Linked DNA regions of Neodiprion lecontei. The protein of the gene in region 4 binds, or shares a complex with, the protein of the main gene of each other region. Links are inferred from orthologs where the notes say so. Each region holds a gene or a part of one and is shown on either strand. Other genes may lie near its edges.

Evidence for each region.
Region 1: transcription initiation factor TFIID subunit 3 (region 4) and transcription initiation factor TFIID subunit 11 share a complex: the UniProt entries of both Homo sapiens proteins name them as parts of the TFIID basal transcription factor complex. The link is inferred for Neodiprion lecontei from reciprocal best matches to the Homo sapiens genes TAF3 and TAF11.
Region 2: transcription initiation factor TFIID subunit 3 (region 4) and transcription initiation factor TFIID subunit 8 share a complex: the UniProt entries of both Homo sapiens proteins name them as parts of the TFIID basal transcription factor complex. The link is inferred for Neodiprion lecontei from reciprocal best matches to the Homo sapiens genes TAF3 and TAF8.
Region 3: transcription initiation factor TFIID subunit 3 (region 4) and transcription initiation factor TFIID subunit 13 share a complex: the UniProt entries of both Homo sapiens proteins name them as parts of the TFIID basal transcription factor complex. The link is inferred for Neodiprion lecontei from reciprocal best matches to the Homo sapiens genes TAF3 and TAF13.

Annotation. Positions count from the first base shown.
Region 1 is NC_060261.1:39,665,132-39,672,082, reverse strand, and holds transcription initiation factor TFIID subunit 11, read left to right. Parts: upstream 1-1,786; 5' UTR 1,787-2,181; intron 2,182-2,364; exon of another isoform or gene 2,365-2,366; 5' UTR 2,367-2,367; coding exon 2,368-2,511; intron 2,512-2,748; coding exon 2,749-3,002; intron 3,003-3,092; coding exon 3,093-3,180; intron 3,181-3,465; coding exon 3,466-3,562; intron 3,563-3,757; coding exon 3,758-3,891; 3' UTR 3,892-5,972; downstream 5,973-6,951. Other genes in the region: ER degradation-enhancing alpha-mannosidase-like protein 3, read right to left, coding at 6,311-6,951. UniProt on the Homo sapiens protein: The TFIID basal transcription factor complex plays a major role in the initiation of RNA polymerase II (Pol II)-dependent transcription.
Region 2 is NC_060262.1:2,041,555-2,046,383, reverse strand, and holds transcription initiation factor TFIID subunit 8, read right to left. Parts: upstream 2,847-4,829; 5' UTR 2,601-2,846; coding exon 2,471-2,600; intron 2,380-2,470; coding exon 2,093-2,379; intron 2,019-2,092; coding exon 1,868-2,018; intron 1,765-1,867; coding exon 1,618-1,764; intron 1,544-1,617; coding exon 1,386-1,543; 3' UTR 835-1,385; downstream 1-834. Other genes in the region: probable small nuclear ribonucleoprotein G, read left to right, coding at 3,188-3,219, 3,370-3,392, 3,599-3,723, 3,826-3,876. UniProt on the Homo sapiens protein: The TFIID basal transcription factor complex plays a major role in the initiation of RNA polymerase II (Pol II)-dependent transcription.
Region 3 is NC_060263.1:20,310,410-20,315,087, reverse strand, and holds transcription initiation factor TFIID subunit 13, read right to left. Parts: upstream 2,879-4,678; 5' UTR 2,736-2,878; coding exon 2,709-2,735; intron 2,574-2,708; coding exon 2,336-2,573; intron 2,269-2,335; coding exon 2,150-2,268; 3' UTR 1,296-2,149; coding exon of another isoform or gene 1,291-1,295; 3' UTR 912-1,290; downstream 1-911. Other genes in the region: uncharacterized protein LOC107221582, read right to left, coding at 1-26. UniProt on the Homo sapiens protein: The TFIID basal transcription factor complex plays a major role in the initiation of RNA polymerase II (Pol II)-dependent transcription.
Region 4 is NC_060264.1:28,407,216-28,412,392, reverse strand, and holds the start of transcription initiation factor TFIID subunit 3, read right to left. Parts: upstream 3,514-5,177; 5' UTR 3,204-3,513; intron 2,765-3,203; 5' UTR 2,720-2,764; coding exon 2,554-2,719; intron 2,437-2,553; coding exon 2,194-2,436; intron 2,049-2,193; coding exon 886-2,048; intron 793-885; coding exon 235-792; intron 101-234; coding exon 1-100. Other genes in the region: girdin, read left to right, coding at 4,565-4,615, 4,742-4,830, 4,934-5,177. UniProt on the Homo sapiens protein: The TFIID basal transcription factor complex plays a major role in the initiation of RNA polymerase II (Pol II)-dependent transcription.

The DNA.
Region 1 (6,951 bases), on a different chromosome or scaffold from region 4:
TTTGTAATTTCGATGCAGCTAGCTTTTTATTATCGGCGCTGAAACGCGTCGCTGAAAATCGAAATTTTTTTTCAATTGGGAATTTCGGTACATCGACTGTGTGATGATTAGATTAACAAAACGAATTAGTGTAAACCGAGCGTATATTTTCTCCGAGCGGGAAGATTCTTCAATCGGAAAATTTAACAAACTTGAGTCTCTATTCACTCTCGGAAAGTTGGAGAAGCTTTGAAACGGGAGGCATCGATATTCGTTTAGCAGATGTTAGGGAAAGAATTAAGGAAAGTGTATCGGATGTGGTAAGATAAAACTTACGTGTCTGATATTTCGACCGCATAGGCGGAAAGGAAAAAGGTCGAAAACTCGATCTCGTATACAATAATAACTTCACCTTCTCTCTTTTATTTCCAAGATATCAAAAACAGGGATATTGTATACTGAAAATTGACAGGCCAAGACAGAATTTTCGACGTCGTTTGAAAAAATTGTGAATGTAATTACATACACAGGATACAGACTTATGTACGTATCTACGTACGTACGTCAAACCCGCATTTACATTCGACTCCTCATTCGTGCAGGCGTCTAGTTTGACTTACCTACGTATGCATAGGTACTTTAAATTCTAGTCTTCGTGTACCTGAGCGTCTACGATCAGAATAAAGACCCGAGTTTCGAAAATGGTATAGGTGGGTATTACATGTGTGCATTGTATACAGTAACAGGCGAAAAATGACAGTGTGCATACGTGTTTACCTAAAAACACGCCTATAAATTGCCTCATTATTTTTTGCGACAATGGTATCTATCTGGCCATGTGCGAAAAAACGACAATCAAGTTTTGTACGCGCGTCTGTCTGTATAAAAAATGACGTATACGTAACGCTATTATTGCAGAGATTGCGGAGTCGCGATTGAGAATAACGAGATGAATCGCAACGCGGTAAATGGCAAACAATTAACCGTGCTGAGTAATAAAACGCGAAACAACCAAGCTGCTGCTAATCAAAATGCGTTGTCGAACTCTCGGTACGCGATCTGTTACATTTTCGATAGCAGAAAAGGAATGAGAATAAGAATAAAAAGAAAAGATTGGTAAACCGGTTTTTTACGCACAAACATCAAAGAACAAAACCCGCTGCAGGCTCTCTCCGACTTTTCAGCAATATAACATGACCAGTTTGACGGTTCCAATATGGAACTGTGCCATTTTTAAAGCGCGTTGGTTATTATACAGAAGATGTTTTTTTTTCCAACTAGTGTAAACGTGAGTCCATAAATATTATATTACGTATCGATGAGGAGGAAAGAGATACTCACATTTTAACACATCAACACGAAGAGTTGGCCGACATTAACGAGGGTTGAATGCTTGGTTGGCGAAGAACGAAGATTTCCGTTCGATTCCCTCGTTAATACGAAATCCAAATAAATATGCAAGAGGGAGAGGTAACTGAGACACTGTACTGTGTTTGTATTGTGTATATCCACCTGCACCTTTTCCTCCTCCTTCCTCCTCCTTCTCAAAGCCGCAACACTTGGCAAATGTCCGAGAGCCGTCTAAAATTCAACTTTGCCGATGTGTGCACAAGCGGTAGGTGGGTATATTTACCCCGTTTACACGGCGATGTACTCGACCCCTTTCGCCGTTAAATCACTCGGCTGTTAATAACCCTGATTGGGTAACCACGGCGTAGAAATTTTTACGCGAAACGCGACCGAAAGTACGAGAAAATTGTTAAAACAATCGAGTATTGACAAATGCGGCGTCGCGACACCGCCGCAACATTTCTCTCGCGATTGTTTCGATGGTTTGTGCTGCTGCCGCGCGGGCAACTTCGGAACTAACGAGGCGAACCTTACCCAGCGTATTTACGTTTCATCATTGTCGCCAATTTACGGTCCCAACGATTACGATCGTGACGACGATTTATTGATGGGGATTCTCCGTCGTCGGTTGTCGATATTTGCCGCTACTTTTGATAACCTCGGTGTAGTAATTTTGAAAAAGATAAATCGTCGCAAAGGCAGGTCACGCAGGTCGTGACGTCATTCGTGCAGTAAACACTCTCCTTCTGTCAAATCAGTCAATATCGCGCTACAAAAGCGGTTCAAATCAAATTATCTTCAGGGTTTAGGACGCGTCAGCTGACCGGACTGTTGCTGTTAAAAACATCGTGAGTTTCGTTACTTCTTCAGCCCTCCTTTGGACAGATTTTATTTCATAATTACACCGATTATGGTGTTCGGCTGTTTCTAACCTATATGCATGTGTACAAAATTTCACCGATTTTTAAAATTTATGCAATTTTGTATTTGATAGAACATTTTGGCCTTTTATTTTTATGAACTTTATTGCTTCAGAGAATGGATAATATTTTTGGTAAAGATGATTCTGGGAACGAAAGCGAGCTTGTCGATATTGAAGATAAGGACAGTCCGTCTAGACCCTCCGGAACCAGAGACAGCGATGGCATGGATATTGACGACGTTCCTTTGAAGGTGAAAGGAGTAAATATATTGAAATTTTCAGCTTCGTACTTTTGCAGTCGATATCGCTAATACGGAGGAGAATTTAGAACATTTTTATACTTATATTGCAATTATGAAAATCGAGAACTCGAATTTGCACAAAAATATAAGCAAAACTGATGATCTCCAATCTTTTTGTCATACTTAAATTGAGACTGATTTCTCATGCGGTTCTCGTCAAATTGTTTTGAATAATTTGGTGTTTTAATTTTAAAGAATGAACCTGACACTTCAAGTCAGAATTCTCAATCAGACACAGAAGAGTCAAGTCCCCAACAAACTAGTAGCGGAATGCTATCAAGTGACCATATGGACTTGAAGAATGATCCAGAGAGTCAAGATGAGCATGAAGACATTTTTGGAAATGATATAATGCTCCCACATTCGGTACCGACAAAAATAGATGGAAGAAGAGAAAGTAGAGAAAAGAGTAAAAAGGAACTGGAGGAAGAAGAGCGGGAGAAAATGCAGTATGTTAAATATTCACCTTTTTGGCTTCTATTTGTGAAGCGACGCATTTGACAATACGTACAAAATTACTTTCACCATTTTTATTCTAGAGTTTTGGTATCAAATTTCACGGAAGATCAATTGGACAGATACGAGATGTACAGAAGAGCTGCATTTCCCAAAGCAGCAATCAAAAGAGTAATCAGATTTTATCAAAGCTTTTAGTTAGTTCTGCATTCTCAAAATTATTCGAAGTGTAAATTCCTTGAAGAAACTCCTTGTTAAATAAAAATGCATGTAAGCTTCTTGAAAGATAACCTTCACGAACTAATATTTTACTCGCGTTTTTTTTTCAAATATCTACTCAATATTGATTGCATAAATTTACTCCGACCAACAATCACAAGGTCAATACCTAATATCTTATTGCCAAAGAAAATGAACAGACGGCTCTTCCATTTTGTTGTTTTCGATTCTTTTCAGATTATGCAGACAATTACGGGCTGCTCGGTATCTCAAAATGTCGTGATAGCCATGTCAGGTATAGCCAAGGTGTTTGTCGGCGAAATTGTTGAGGAAGGTACGATATGAAAAACTATATCTCTTGCACAAGATAATTACAAACTCCGATGTATGCAAATTTCGATGGCTCAAAAAATTGACGAATATTTTTATTGGAGAAAAAGATATTGTAAAATCCATAGTAACTCTTTCACTGTAAAGAATATAGAGAGCAGAAGCTGAAATAATGTAACAAATATGCAACTGTTTAAAGCTTTGGATGTCATGGAAACTCACGAAGAAACGGGCCCATTGCAACCAAAACATTTGAGGGAAGCGGTACGCAGATTACGACTTCAGGGACAAATACCAAACGGTAGAGCACAAAAGGCATTTTTCAGACTTTGAGGAAAGCATGAGCTTTTTTGCAAATGGTCAAGAAAAATGTTATTAAAGTGCAGCACGTAGTACAAACGCTTTTGTTATAACAAAAAAGGCTAATAGCTGGAAAAACGTCCAGAAGACTTCCAAAAGCTACAGCCAATGTTAGAAAATGCGAAATGCCAATCAATATCTATTGTAATAATATTATGTTTATGCATTAGCGTCTAATTTTAAACCTGTAAAAGGTCATTAGAGTTAATTTATTAAATCATAACAGAGGCAATAAATGAAATTCTGTTATGATTTTAGATCTAGCTATACAATATAATTTTAACGTTACTTGTAAAATACATTTGAAATCTCTTCTCTTCTCTGGCAGTATAAATTTTTTCATCCGAGAGTTATAGTCTAATCTGAAAGCTTTCAATGTATGTTTCCCAAAGAGAATTCTATTCTTGTAACATTGTTCTCTTGACCCACAAATGTAGAAAGAATTATATTTTCTCTTATTGTTACATATAATGAATAAAAAGATATATCACTAAAATCCTGATACCTGTTGTATTTCAACTATGAGAAATACCAAAAAACCATGACTAAATGAATTCGTACTAGGGTATTTTTCGAAAGATGAAATTTTTTCAAAAGTATATCTCGACACGTGCACAAAAAAGCATGATTTATAACGATTTTATTTCCAATTATCAATAATAGTCATGCGTCACCCCCGTTACCAAAAACCTCATTCCGTAAATATCTTTACTGAAATTGATTTATAGTATACTATGATACAATCTTCTGTATTTTGTTATTCTAATATGTACAAAGAGTTAATCATACTATAAAAATTTGTAGTAACTTTACTTCTCTTAAAATCTTAAATATCCTTATGTTATTTTTGGCAGATAATTACTAGTTATATGGTATTATAATTATCTTATTTTCATTTAACAGTATTTAAGAAAGAGTCATTCAGAATTACAATATATTTATAAGTAAAAAGCTGATATTCATATTAGGATCTTATTTACACTTATAAGTTATATGCATTCTCTGACAGCAGTAAGCACGTAAGTATATAACAACTAAAAATTACAACTTAATATTCTTAACTGTTCATCGTACGCTTGCAGATGTTCACTACATTTCAAAAACCATTGCTCATTGAAATGATGGAATATATTTTTATACCACGATATAATATTAAAGAGTAGTTGATAGATCTACTCGCTCGATTACAAATATTATACATTATCATTGTAAAATAGCTAACATAAAGCATTATGTTAGTATTCCTCCGGTAATTAGAAAATTTACTTTACAAATACATACAACAGATATTATACATCTTGCATCGTCTATATCACGAATTAAGAAATATTTTACACAGTTCTATTATTATACTTCATTTCTTTACAACTGGTTAACACACATATTTCAATATCTGTACACTAATCCGCCATATATTATCTATTTAAATTATATCTCAGTTTTCTGTACACGAAATCTGATTAGTTTGTTAAAATTGAAATAAAAAAAATCAAACATTCAAGTAGAAATTATAGTTCTCCGATAATTGGTATCATTAAAGTTGCATTACAGATATGTGATTTTTGCAAATAAAAAATGAAATTTCAAGTTTCTTTCTCATCTTTTACCTTTAATGGTTCGTTTTTTTCCGGTTTTTCTTAAGCTAAATAATTATACGATACAAAGCGTAATTATAAAATACTATCCAAATTGTGAATAATAAACACCTTCCAATGCAATAGGAAACTTAGGATAAAATTAAAAGCTTCAAATTATGGATAGTAATAAGTGAATGATATTCACCAGATTTTTTTTCGCTGCCGAAAGTTTCATATTTTCATCAACTGTTGAACTTAGTAAAGCAAAGTATGCATATCTTTAGGTTAAATTCACTGTTTCCTGCAGTTTTATACCTTTGACAGTCTACGTACGTTATATTCACAACCACATCAATGTGTATTGAACTATCGAAAATATATATACATTATGTAGTTAACAAAACCTCATGCATTGTCTCCAAATTATACACGGCATTATTCGTGATTTCATTATTATTGCAAGTTTTTAACATAGAGTCCATTTTCGAAAAAAGCACCATTAGTTGATGATTTAAAAAAAAGATATAGTTTCGCGCTACGCTTCATGAGTGATTTCAAGTAATAAGTAATCATTGTCATATTTCCCATCTCATGACATACATTGTTAGATTAACTTAATTCTTATTTCTATATGCATAGAAATTTTAGGTATAAAAATGTTAAAGCTCGCATCACTTGAGTCTTGAGCTAATCTTAATTTGTCAATTATTTTTTTTTTCACGGTTTATATTTTACTACCAAGTATCAACTAGTGTAATTGGACTTTTCTTTATTTCAATACATTTATTATCAAACCTATAATCAAAATACCATCATTATAATTCGTCGTCGATATGTTTTTTACCTTCTCTGGTATCGGCATTAATTTTTATTTGCGAGCCAGCATGTTCTTCACTTACGACTTTCCCGTTTTTCCGTTCTTGATTTCTTCCTTTCTCTTCTTCTTGTTCTTCTTCTTCTTTGCCTCGATACTCATAATTACTCTTTTCTGGGTTAGCATATCCCGTCGATCGTATTTCTTTTTTTTGTTGAAATTCAGAAAATCCTTTCAATATTTTACCTTCATCAGATGCCCACAAAGGTTTTTTGAAATCCTCCAAAGGGTCATTCGAGCGAAGTTGCTCATCGGGTATGTGCTGGGTTTCTAAATTTATTTTTGTATTCAATTTAATTTCATTATTATTAAGGCTACGCATATTACTGTTATCTTTATTATTATTATTTTGAGAATCACTAATCTCTCTTCGGATGTCTTGTAAAAGCCTCTTTCTCTCGTCATATCTTGCTTCCGTTTTATCGAATTGTTCATCTCGATGTTTGTCGACAATTTCTTTGTCATTTTCAGTGTCCCAATCAGCGCCACGATTAATTATGTCAGATTTTACTTCAGACTTGTCATAGTCCAGATTTTTTAGCGATGAAGAACTAGATTCAGTTGGATTCTCTGCCGCTTTTT
Region 2 (4,829 bases), on a different chromosome or scaffold from region 4:
ACTGAAATCTTTAACGCGATCCGAGGATTGAAAAATCATTTATTCAAAAGCGTTACTTATTTCGTAAGTAACGATACATTTAATAAAGTATCGTCGTGTACGAAAAGAGATACTGTATTTATGCGACATACCTATAAAGAAATACACGTAAAGTGAAACTGTGCAATTGGATGTCGAATGTAGTAAAACATATTGATTATTACTTTTATATTTTCGCGATTTCAATAGTGCTCAATGGCTAAATTAGAGAATGAAACAAATTAAAAAGAAAGCCAACAATTTGCTGAAATATTTTTATCAAGTACTAATCTGATATTAGACACATATGGATATTCAGCTTGCTGCAATAGTTTATCACACTGCATCATCAAACTATAGATAATTTTTTACTTGTGGTGAAAGAACTTGACTGAACTTAGAATGTGTTGAATTTTGGATCGGTCGTTGTGTTCGTTACACCTAATTTTGTCTGCAAATTAAAATAAATTTTGTCCGACAATCGCGTGTAGTTGCGTGATTTTCTACAATCAAATGCCTTTCAAGAAAGAGCAAAATAAATGGAAATTAGAAATTAGAAACAGGGTATTACAGTAAACTTTACGAATCAATGCCTGGTCTATCATTTTATAGGAGTCTAGACGAATCCAATCATGTTTGTTACATAGAATATAAGTGAAAGTAAATATTTTATAATCGATCTTCATCCATTGAACAAAGAACGCATAGTTCATATTTCACAAAGGCTTGTTAAAAAATTTTTTGCATATTTGATATACTAAATTGCAGTTATCAAATCGTCGCACTGTCATGGCATTAATATTTTTTCACAGAATCAATGAAGGTCTCATGTCATTATTATCTATAATAAAAGCAATTAGTTAGGCTTCCAATTAAGCTATGAATAGCTTCGCAATGTAGGGTGCATATGTAATCGGTAATCGTTATATGTACGTCTATGCGATATTGTATAATCTATTTTTATAATGTCTCGTGCAATACCTAGGGTCCCTTTAAATAGTTGTGATGTTTATCAATCCTTAAACGCTGCCTTCTTATTGTATGTATATCGGTGCTAGTGAGCTGTGCAATTTTATGGATATCTACAGATATATTAATATTGTACTCAACATAAATCAGTAGACCTTTATATTAAAAAATGACTCACAGCAAATTTACACAATTTATGATAACAATAATAACAACTTGAGTAACTAAAGTCGGATTGTTATTTTTTTTAAAATATATTTATTAATTTTATGATAACTTAATTTACTATATATAAATATACAATATCTTCCTCTGTGCATCAGTAATAATAAAGTAATTGTCAGTTAGTAAGTTCCGTGCTTAAAAACCAAATATCAAAATAATACCTAAATCTTTAGTCATACGTCTGTCGCTTCTCTCTTTCCAGGACCAGTCGGATTCGTACCAGTTATTTTATTCTTTGGCAGTTTGCCTGGCCTCAAATAAGGATTGTCTATCACATCTTGTTGGGCTAATGCCTCTCCACTTTGCTCTGTCCCATCTGCTTGTGCTTGGGCTGAAAATTGAAACATCATCAGTACAAGATTCACCATTTTTCTGACTCATTGTCTCTATAGATTATGAACAAACCTTCTTCTTTGTCTTCTACAGGCGGTGCCTTCTTCTTTTTTTGAACCGGACTCGGTTCAAACTGGAACTCTTGATCAGGCTCAAAAACTTGATCCTGTGGTAGAAGTGCTGACAAATAGCTGGGAAATTGTGGCTTGCATGCTATCACTTGAGAGAAGTTGAGAAAATCCATTAATAAATAAAACAATAATTTTAGAATATAAGATATTACTTTTGAAAATTTCCAAACTCAATTAATTCTACCACTTACAGGGAAACATGGTGTTGTCTTCGGTCAAGAACAGACTATGCGTGTCCCCTGTTTTGGCAATAAATCTTGTCAAGGCTCGTTCAATGTCCCGTTTTTGCGATGCAGCCTTTTCCCTGATAGCTTCATATTCCGTCACAGGTTGTTTATGTGTCTGAACACCATTTGTCGATAGTTACACTAATGTGCTACCAAAATGATGAGTAGTTGATGGAAGTTATGACTCACCGGCGTCCTGATGTAGGCGTGAGGATCAGGAAATGGTGGCAGATGATTAGGTATGTGCGACGGATGATTTTGCTTTACTCCAGCTTGTAAAATATTGAGCTGTTTGGCCTGTATCTGTTGTTGAAGTTGGGGCAGAACAGTCCTGTTTAGACGTTTACCATACGTCTCCATCCCTTCTAATTTGATTCCCATGTTAATTAGGGCCAGAATAACATCGGCTATCAGAGGCTCGGTCCGCCCAGACAGCTCGCAGTAATTTTTCGCCGAATCTCCGACCTCGACGATAACTACAATGTTCATAATTACGGGTAAGCATTCTTTTTTAGTTTATAGGGTAAACTCGTTTAACAGCGTTCAAGAAGTCTTAAATTCACTTACAAGCCTGCAACATTTCGGTGAGGGTTTCCAGCGCCTGTCTTTCACACGTTTCGAAACCATTTTCGACCAAAATACTGCAAACTACATGATTTAACACTTTTCTTCTCGTGTTTACTGTTTGGGTCTCCATTTTTAATACAACTGGCTATTACTGTTTGGTCTTGTTTCCATCGAAGGGTTGGAGTCGGGTTAGGTTCAAATTATGAGCCAATGAGAAACGAGGTTTCAGGAGAAATTACTTTCTTCCTCTCAAATCTCGTTTCTCGTTTGGCTGTAATTTTAACCTAACCTGACTCTGACCTTACCACAAATGGTATTACATGCTTCGTGGACCTTACGATGGAAGCATCCTATAGTGTAAGAAAATAAAGCGTGTTCCACCGGTGGACGCTATTTCGTCCCGTTCTGCGCCGACCATAGAAGCCTTCTTGAAATTATATGACGTATCTTATAAGTACAGTGGAGATTCCTACTTGTTAAATTGTACGCTATATAGATGGTATTGAATGGGATCAATTGAAAATCCAAGATGGCCTTCATACGGTTGGTTCTTAATACGACTTGTTCGTGGAGATGGCTGCGCAGTAACACACCTTAGATGTTCAAATTTGTAAAAGCGTCTCACGTCGCTTTACGTTGTTCGTAATCTCATCGTTGGACAGTGTGAGCATCAAACTGCCCCGATTTTTCAATTAAAATTCAACACATCTATTAAAAATGAGCAAAGCACATCCCCCAGAATTGAAAAAGTAAGTGATAAACTTGCGTGTCAAACCGACGCCGAATAACCGCAGTTCTTTGCCAAGAATTTTTAGGTTACGTTGCTAAATTTAAGGTTAGACTTCACCTACCGGTACATTTATTGCCCATATATACTAATTTTTCATTATATTTTTCAGATACATGGACAAAAAGTTATCCCGTAAGTTCAGAGGATTAAATTAGTATCAAATAATATTGACTTGGTTTGGGATATTCATTTATTTTTTCAACGTTCATTGAACCTAGCTTTGGAAGGTTATAAATATTTGATATTGCCAAATATCATGTTGCGCACGAAACCCTCTTCTAGAAAATTGAGAGGAATGGTATTTGATGTATTTTATTAACGATACTTTCAATTGGCAGTAAAACTGAATGGCGGGAGACACGTGATTGGCATCCTGCGAGGATTTGATCCGTTCATGAACATGGTCATTGACGAAACAGTCGAAGAATGCAAAGACGGAACGAAGAATAACATTGGAATGGTGGTAAGAATTTAAAAAATCTAAAGCAATTGCTTGAGGAAAGATGCAAATCATTTTTTATATCCGCACGAAGTATTGACGACAATATCATTTTTGTTATTTCAGGTCATTCGAGGAAACAGTGTCATAATGCTAGAGGCGTTGGATAGAATATAATTATTAAAAAGAATCGGATGGAAGAATGTATTTAAGAGAAAAAGAAAGAATAAAAACATTTTGTATTTGTAACGCCGTATTTAACATTTAATTTTTCACTTATTTTACAGTGTACACATAGTTGTAAATGATTGAATGATAAGTTAGGAGTGACAATAATTTTGGAGAAAAATCATGAAGACTAAAAGAATTCAAACGTTTATGTTCAAATACAAGTATAAAATAAAACAAAAAAAACAGGATTCCAAGCAGCACAATTTTCTCACATTTCTTAGCTCGGAACAACGAGAAAGTGAACATTCAATACAGCTAAGCTGATTATTAAATATATTGTGCACAAAATATAATCTGGAAAAAAATGGTGCAATGGCATATAATTAATTATGGTAGGCATTTCGCTGTTACATGTATAACTGGATTTTATAAAAATACGAAAATATCGTACAAGGGGTTAGTTTGCCAATTTGAGATTCGTACTGCACAGTACAGAGACATACTGGATTAAATCAATTATTCTTATAATGAGTTATTCAGGTGAAGTGAATAAAAAAAAAATTATACAAATTCTATTTTAAAAATGTCAAAATACATTTGCTATGTTCATAAAATCAATCTTTTTACTGATGTTTTTATTAGACTGAATAATTCCGATTTAATGAAACCGTTTTGGAACTAAAATTTTAATAATACTATCTGCGATGAGCTGAGGATTTTTGCTGTCGTAAGTGCTCATCAGTCTTCGAAGCAGGAACAAAGGTCTGACTTACAAGAATAATAATAGGTATAATCATAAAAATAAATGCGTGCATACTTTATACATTGTATATAAAATAAAGAAGCAAATATAGCTTCCTTTGTCAGAAATACCATAAAATCTTACCCTCACATAGTTTTTAATTAAAATTTGACAATAGTGTGCAGAATACTCGGTAAATACCTTAATTTTTTTTCCT
Region 3 (4,678 bases), on a different chromosome or scaffold from region 4:
GGACCTGTTTGTTTTACCAAAGCCATAATTCGGGGAAATTACGACCCGCTGCTGCGGACGCCGGTATCTACACGTGAATCTTCGCGTCGTCTGCTGACTTACAGCATTTTCCGCACTGATTTTCCGAATAATCTTTTCAGTGGTTGCAATCAGTGCGAATCACGTGGTTTTCGTCCAATGGCGAATGAATTCTAAAGAACCCGCTCTCAGTGCAGCCGTTCGAAAAATTACAGTAACGACGTGCGGTATTAATCAGCTCGAAAACGACAATTTGCAGTTGATTTTGGAAAAGTTCAAGGCAAGTTCTTGTAGCAAAATTGTAGTGACCGCAAGAGAGTCCTATGCACCCTTACCATAGTTCTTAGACCAATACAGACGTATACAGTTACGATCATACGTGCAAGATTCTCATATTATTAGTTCTTACACGCCACATTGCCTGTTATTTTATCAACCAAGCTCACATCTATAAAGTATTAAGCAGCGTATATACAATTTTCACACGTCACCGTTATATCTTCCGAAAATCATGTACAGTTCACAATCAGAGAAGCCCTTATTCTCAGAACTAAGGATAGCACCTTTGTTTTAATGACGATGTAATCAATTAATGCTTCACCGTTTGCTTCTCTGAACCAATCGTTCCGTGCTAATACTCCGCCAAGACACTACTTACTAACCAGATGTCTTGCTCTCAAGTAATCAATTAGCATCAACCAATCATTTTAGACCCACGAAAAAACGCGCCTTTTTTCGAACTCTTCCTACGTTGATGCATGTCAGCATGACGTTCTAAATTCCAATTTTCCCGGAATTTTGCACGGAAAATGCGGGAGAAATGTGGCAAAAAAAATAAATGGATGTATGATATGGGAAAAGTCGTGTACTGTATAATATATAACAAGCATTGGTACAACGCCCATACATTGATTATTGGTAAAATCCTGAGCAAGTTACATGAATGTACAAATAAATTCAATCCAGGTATCACAAATAGACACATAAATATATGTACATACATACGGAGATGAATTATTCTTCAACAAGTCAAGAAACTCACTCTGTACTGCATCAAACATATCACTCCGTTAAAATCGAGAATCTGGTTGCAGTCTGGAATTCGATGATCATGTCGCAGTGATATTAAATAGGCTGTGTCAAAGCCCAATTGAAAATTGCAGCAAATTGCAATTGGCAGACCATTCGCATAGTTGATTTGGGCCCATACAAGTATTTTTACACATTTCCTTCTCCTTCTTTAACCAAGGTATTTCTTTTCACCGCACGATGTTATTCTGCCAGTAAAATATAGGTTGTTACTAAGACCAAGCGTTTCTAATTCCGTTTAAAATATTTATTCAAATATGATACTATGTTGATTCATTATCACTTAGTTAGATGACGTAGTAATTATGCAACATCAGTACACATTTCTAATCTTCACCCAAAACGATTGTTAAATGTATTCATTAAAGTACCATGGTATTCAATTATAAATGTACAAAAGATATTCATTCGAATAAATTCAACAGGCAACCTTGTTTGTTTTGGTTTAACATTCTAAAACGCAACTCAATAATTAATCAATTATGATGCAACACTTATTTACAATATATTTGACAACCGACTATTCAAAATAAAAATGAGATGCAAAACACTAATTACATGCTACCTGGTATTAAATTTAATAAAACAGACCAATTTGATCAATTATTGAAACTCAGTGACCTCCATATTTAGATTCAATAGCGCAACCACTTAAACATGACAAAGTCCACCCAATTGCATAGTAATAAAACAAACCAAACAAAAAATAGTAACAATGGTGAGGATGCAATATTTACAGTAACGCCACCCATTCCTGTTAGAAACCATCGCTCGATCAGTTCATAAACAACAAATCATAGCTCTATTTTATACGCAATAAACTAAAACTAACGAGTCTGATTCAAGCCTGATTGGATATTATGCTATGATGAAAACTTGTTTCAGAAAATACTTCAGAATGTGTTTGGATGGCCAATTATTCATATATTGCAACAAGACTTGGATTAGACTCTGCAATAACAAAAACCAAAAAATCATGAATTCACACACCTCTACCAATGATATTTTTGTTTTTACTTGATAATATCAATCAACCGGTTTCCTACTGATTGACAGTACCTGCGTATTTCACTTCGTCAAAGGCTTTCCTTGCTTTTTTAAGCTCCTCATTCATTGTCAGCAGATCCTTAACTCTGGCGTATTTTCTAGAATCTTTCCTTACTGGAAAACAATGTGAAACAAGTTTAAGATAATATTGCACAACAAATTAAAATTCCCGCTCACTCACCAAGGAAGACAATGTCTTCGACTTGCACTCTGCCTGTGCGTCCAATTTCCATTGCCCTGTGGGTCATTTCGGTGATGAATTCGATCACCAAATCTTCCAGAAAGTCAACGCTTTCGGTGTATGGATTTTGGTCATCGCCAAATCCGTACATCATGCAACGGAGCTCCTTTGAAAATAACCGTTTTCTTCCACCCGGAAGCGTTCCTCCGATCGGAATCTCCGTCTCCTCATCTTCGAACTGATCAAATAAAGAATGCCAATCAAGGCTTAAGGTCTCCAGGAGTTAGGTTACTTTACGTTAGGCTAGATTATTTTGCTTAGCTCGTACTCAACCCTCAATTATGAACAAACCATTTCATTATGACCAATTTACCTGCTCGTAATTTTCCTCCGCAGCCATTGACGTATTTCGTTTGACTCACAAGAATCTGGCAATTAAATAACGACTTTTGAACAAGATTAATTGACAGAAAACTCTCGTTGAAAACTCCAACACTTGTCAAACAGAGATCTACTAGTTTCTGTGTCAAAACCCATCTCACGAAGCTTACGTTAGTCAGTGATGCCAAATGTCGAAAACGAAACATTCCTAATAGTGAGACGAAAAAACGCCGACGGCATAGCAGGATTCGTTGCTGAGGGTTGAACTCAGTGGATAATACAGAGCATATTTACCATAACAAAATGCCACTGCAGTGGTCGAAAATAAACGCATCATAAACATTAACAAATGTTATTGCAGTAATACTAAATATTTAAAAAACTTCATATGCTTTAAATTAACGGCAAACAATGGTTAATATTATCTTAATTACTTTGAAATTTATTGCCGTTTTTTTTGTGTCTTACAAAAGTTAATTTGTTATTAAAATAAATACCTAGAATTCCTTAACTTCAGTGATCTGTATGAAGTAACAGTTTCCCAATTTATAATAAGTGAAATCCTTTGAATGATTTTTTTTTTTACCAAATGTTATAGAATCACATTTAACAATGTTGCATGTCGTTTCGTTCAACTCAAACCACTTAAAAATGTTATCGAGAACAACTTGCATCAACGCTATGTCCCTAAGGTAATTGATGGCTTTGTAAGATCGAAAAAGGGCAAATTTAATCACCTTACATGTATCATTCACATCAATCAAGATAAAAGGTGGACCTAGGTCTGCACCCACCCAATTTCGGGAATACTTACGCCAAGATTCTTCGCTATCACTATACAAATGCCATGCCTTCACTTAGAACCCGAAAATTATCAGGGTGACGCGCAAAAGGCGCTGTCAAATTTGAAAACTTGATTACTTGTAAGATATTCGACTTAAGAGCCGAAGGCTGAGCACATCGACAGTGCTTTACTTTGTCATGTACCGTTTGCGAAATCGGCGCGCAAAAGCGCGGCCGATTGATCTGTCAAATAATCTTAAATATGTTGCAAAATTTTGTATAAATCTAATCCGAAATTGTGTTATTCTACGACTATGACAAATGCGCTGTGCATTACTCACTGCTTTCGAGTTGCTAAATAGTACACAGCAAATACGACATGCATTTACCGTTCAGGTACCTCAAAAATTCTTTACAAAATCTGTTCCGTGTCAGAAGGCGCTACTAAATCGAGGATACGAAAAATACAAAAGCGGATCCCTTTCTGCTGACGGTAAGGGATGCGTCGATAAGGCAAAATGTTATCTGTCTAATGAAAGAGCTGTATGTATGAATGAAATAGAGGAAACGTTCTGTTTCTATGAATAATAATAATAACAACAACAACAACAACAACAACAACAACAATAATAATAATACGTGATACAGGCAATCACTGGAGAAAATTGACAGCACTTCAGTTAAAAGAGCGTTCGTTGATTTTTTTAATACGATGTTATTCCATGTATTTTAAATATTCTTCATACACCCTTTACTTATTACGTAATATACATGAAATTCTAAGATTCCCTCCTTGTTTCCGTACAGTAGCATTTCTAGAATCTGTAATCGAATTCGATCAGCTTGGGAAAATCTTTTTTGTTTAATAATATGATTGCGGTTGTAGCGTGTGTTTATGTTTATTCGATTTGACCAACGTCGTTAATTGTAACATTACCGAATTAGTCGGTAATTCGGTTAAAAATAAATCGTGATATTTTAATCAACACGTAAACAAGTTGTAAGACCCACCAACCTTGGTTCGGGTCTTTTTTTTATAAGGTGTATGCTTAGTCTTGCTTGCATAGTGGTAAAACTAATTTCGCGAATACGTTGGATACGCAAATCTATAACGAATCGATGTGCATAAATGCTATCCAGTATTATCTTGTCTGCGAAAAAGAATCGTCAACTCAACCA
Region 4 (5,177 bases):
TTTTCTCCTTATTTTTTTCTCCCTTCTCTTTATGTTTTTCCTTCTTCTCTTTCTTCTTTTTCAGCTTATCTTTCTTCTCTTTTTTGTGCTCTTTCAATTTCTGCAACAGGTAATTGTTAGCAATAGTTTAAATATGTGTAAAAATTGATTGCCGGCAAATAACAACAGTTCATTTTCTATTCAAACTACAAACTTTCTCTCAATACGACTCCATAGCATAAAAAACAACATTACCTTGTCAATTTTATCAACTTTCGGGCTCTTTGGTGTGAGCAAAGAGGAATTGGTCACAAAATTATTATTTATTACTGGTAAAACTAAATTCGAAGGTTGCAAGGTTGGGGTGATGGGTTGCGCCACAAACTCCTTGTCATGTTTAGAGATTTTTGGGATCTTCTCGGGTTTCTCTTTTTCCACTTTTTCGGGCTTTGCTGGTGGGATAGGTAAGCTGGGCACCGCTGGTATAGGAAGCGGTTTCTCCCGTTCAGAAGGCTTAGATTTTGGAGGTGGAAAGTCGTCTACTTTAGTGTTCAGTCCAACGAATCTTGGGGGCAATGGTAAATTAGGCATTGCAGGATGCGGCACCCCTCTGCTCAGTGGAAGAGGAAACCTTGGAAACAATGGGTGACCAATGGGAGGCGGAATGAGACCAGGAGCTGGTGGAAAAGTTGGAAAGAATGGAAACGGCATTGTCGGAGGCAGTCCTAATTCTCTAAGTGGCGGTTCTGGTGCCTGCGGAGTCTTTGGCCTCTCCGGTGTATCCGGCTCCACCAAATCGTTTGACATTTTGATCTAAAGAAACATGAAACCAAAGCGTCATTATGGGTTGATGAGATACCGGTGGTAATTTGTAAAAACTACTTGACATCATTGACAATTTTTTACCTTTTTGGGACTAATGCATTGCTTGGGACTTTTTAATTTGGTTTCCTTCTTTTTTCCTTTCTCTTTCCGTTTCTTTTTCTGATCTATAACCACAGGTACGTTAAGTTCTGGAGTTTTAGGCGTACTAGGAGTGCCTGGTGGCGACATATCATCGAACATGTAGATGTCAGAGGATGGGCTTTGAAGACCAGTTGGATCCCCGGAATCAGGTTGTACATGTACATCGGGTGTATGGGGTGTCTTCTTCTCCTCAGTTTTCGCCTCTGAGTCAATTTTTCTGTTCAGCTTCTCGATATTCTCGTCGATTATCAAACCTGGCGAACTTTCACGCGAGTCCAAATCCTTGTGTTTATTCTCTGGAGTATCCTTTTCTTTATCGTCCCGGGGCTTTGAGATTTTCTTGAAAATGTTGAGCTTCTGTTTGTCGGGCTCGGACGGTAACTTGTCTACCTTCTCTTCTTTCCTTTCTTGCACCAAACTACTGTTCGTTGGTTCAGATTTTTCTAGCTTCATTTTTGGCTGCACTACTTTAGGAGGCTTCGGACTCCCGGCAGGTTTTGGAGGTGAAAGTTTAGGTGTTGAAGGCCTTGCTGAAGGACCAGCTATCCCTGTTTGGCTCTTGCCACCACCTGGCTTTAGGGCTTTCAATTTGGCAAGTTCCTTCATGCCAGCTAATTTTTTAACTTTACTATCATCAATTTTATCTGGTTTAAAGAGCTCCTTCGCTCTGTCCTTCTTCTTATTTTCTTTATCAAGTTTCCTATCTTCTCCATTCTTTTTATTCACAATTTTCTTTGGCTTTTTGTCGGAATTCAATTCAGGGGGAACCATTGGATACGAGCTTGGCGACGGAGAGTCTGATCGAGCTTGTTGAGGTGTTCGAGCTTCGGGAAGTTTCCCCTCCCTGGCAGGGGACAAAAACCCTGAAGTAGTCATCATCACACTATGAATCTCACGCAGTGGTCTACCTTCCTCGACTACTCTTGGTCGCTTAGCTATTGGACTTTCAAGAGACACTGGATCTCCAGGGCGTTTGAAAACCACTTGTGGCGACGTACTTTGTGGCGATATGTTCGCCGATCCGTCAGGTGGAGAGCCGTTTAAAGGCGTTACTTCTGGAGTTGTTTCAGATGGGTTTTCAGATTTAGTTGGAGGATATTCATCTACAATATGAAATATTGATTCCCAGTTTTAATTGGAACAAAATCATCAAGAGTTTTCGTGTTAGGGAATATTAATTTTTTTAAACTTATCCAATGATCAGTTTTTGTGCATTTCGTAACTCGCATATTTCTCATCAACTCATACCTTCTGTGTCAGGGTACATAGCTGGCAAGTGTTCGTGAACATGAACAGGCCTAGTAACGACCTCTCTGCTTCCTGGCTTCAAAAAATTCATATGACTTTCGCGAGGTACAGGAAATTTAGGTACCTCGATGGCACATGGGACTGAATCAACATTTTTAACGTATTCTGCTAGTTCTTGAATGTCTATATTCATGTGCTGAAAGGCTAATCCAAGATCATCGAGGTTCGGTTCCGTTTTTCCCACTGAAATTAATCATATATGCTTCAATTCACTTGCAGTACAATTAAATGTTTGGTTTTATTTATGAAACCTTATGTTTCTGAATTTAGGATTCTTATAGTTCAAAAGTGGCTACTCACAGACTTCGGCATATTGGTGAGTCAATTTAGATGTCCTCGTTAGGTACTCTTGCATGAGATCGACCAAGAATTCCAGCGGCGTAGAATTTATTGAGTGCCATCCGATCGTTTGGCATATTTGAGCCACCACTACTCTTAATACGTTTCTACTGTATTCTGCTGCCATTTTGACAATATTCAAAAATTTTACTCATAGGACAACACTGATGACCTGAAAAACAATAATCAACCCTCTTTTATTTCTACAAAGATAAATCTAGGTGACTCACTCAGACTAGATCGTTGTGAGTGAGGATAAAATTTTACGGAGGTATTCCACCTTCAGTTTGGTATATTCTCAATCAGATAAACTAGCACGATAATACAGAACTAACCTAGCAAAAAAGTCAGTACATTTTTTTTAGGAAATTTCTCGATAATTCAAAGGAACTGTGTAAATGAAATGTATGGAAATTAACTTGTTCACAACATTGCAGCAGTGACCCGATGTACAGAAATATACTCCTGCGAAATGCTGAGGAGTAATCGAATACTAATATCTTTTTTCAAAATAATTATTTCACAGGTGAAAGACTTCCGTATCTTTGCATAGTAGACAAGTTGGAAAGTTCACCTACCCCAGAAAGTGAACGCGAGAAATTACTTCTTACCTGATAAAACTTTATCCGCCGTTGAGAGACTTGGATTTTTACGTTGACATCACAGAAATTCGCCTAGACTTAGTTCTCGGCATTGTTTTGCACAATTATTCACAAACGTAATACATGAACCTGCCAAAAATACGACAAAAAGAACAGCGTAACGCACTCCGGAACACTCGCCTCGCCACCATTTCTAGTCTTGGCAAGCAGTCAACCATAGACTTCTACTATTCCTGGTAGCTATTGCCAAGCCATAGACTATCTATTATATATGAAATCATTCCCAGTCGTTCCTCTTTCCGCGAAACTTACAGGACTAACGACAAACCAGAGAGGACAAACAGCCACGGAACAGCGGAATACCAATACCGTACACACGAACTTAATCGTACGGAATACGGAATTCCAGCCAATGGAACCATTAGGATCTCTGGCAGAGGCGTGGCTTAGAAATTGCACCTAGCGGTGAAAATATGCACTAGTTTGAGTAAGTCACGTTGTGCATAAACAAATGTAGATAAGGGTAATTTTATAAGAATACATTTTGTTTTTGTAATTTCAAAATATAATATGAAACTTTCATTGCAAGATATTTTTTAAATTTGCACATAAATCAATAGTCAGCTGTGCGATTCGACCTACTCGCTCAGATGTTAAATATCGCCACCAGATGGCGTATCCGAGTGCTTTCCATCCACTCCACACGGGAAAAAAATTATTCAAAAGTGATAAAATTTCGCTACATTTTCAGGCAAAAATACCACATTTCTTGAGAAAAAAATTTCCTCTTGTTTCATCGGCGGACATCAAAATTCTTGAACCGAAAGAAATTTTTTTACGGTTGGCAACGCCGGACAGATCATACCCCATACTCGTGTCTCTACTCCATACCACTGATATCTGACAAATCCGTGAAGCGAAAAAAAAGAAAACCGAGTGAGTCATGATGATCTCACGGAGTTACACACATACAAAACTGCTCCCCTAGCGAAACTATCGCGAAACTATCGGCTCTCTTTCTCTCTCAGGGACCTAGCACAACAAAATAACTTCCGTCGATTGTATTCGGCGACGCAGCGAACTGTCAGTGCCGTTGGGAGGCATTTCTCCGTTTTGATAACGGCATCTTCTACCCCATTCACGATTAATATATTTAGAATATGTGTGTATTCATTATGATAGACCGACACTATTTTTTTTACACATACCTCGAGCTATTTTAAGGCTATTGGAGCCGATCAAGGGTCTTCCGAACTTTTTTACAAGAGTACCCTTTACTCGTTTACCATTTGCCAAAAAATCCAACGACTTGTTGAATAGACGTCCAAGATCGTTCACTATCTGGTTGATCAAGAAAACAAACAACGATTATGGCAACATCAAGTGTTGAAGACTTTTTATCCGGCCCTCTCGTCACTTGGGTAATTATTGTTTTTCTAACTTCAACACAAAGTATGGCTTCAGCCTCAGATTAGATAAACTCTATTACAATAGTCTCATTCCAAATATTTGGTAAGTTTTTCTTCACATGTTATTACTCATTATAGTTCACAAGCTGCCTTAAGGAACCTGACGCCCTTGTCAACTATGAAGATTTGGTTGACGGAGTTGCACTGCACGATGTCTTCCTACAAATGTAAACACAAACATAGAATTTCTTCTATTTTGTTTTGTCATGTGTTAGATTCTCGACTTTTAAAAATGATTTTCATCGAATGTTCTCTTTCAATCCTTTATAGAAACCCAGAGCCTATGCATGACAGGGTCGTACCGAGTGTTAGAAATCCAGCGATGAGAACAAAGAATTTAAACGCTATCATTGGAAACATTAAGCAATTTTACGAAGAGGAATTGGGTCACCTTGTTTTAGTGTTACCTGACACTGTCAAGTTGGGAAAAGAGCCCGAAACTGCTATTGGAGAAATCAAGTTACTTCTGTTACTTCTACTGGGATGCGCAGTTCAATGCCCCAACAAAGAAAAA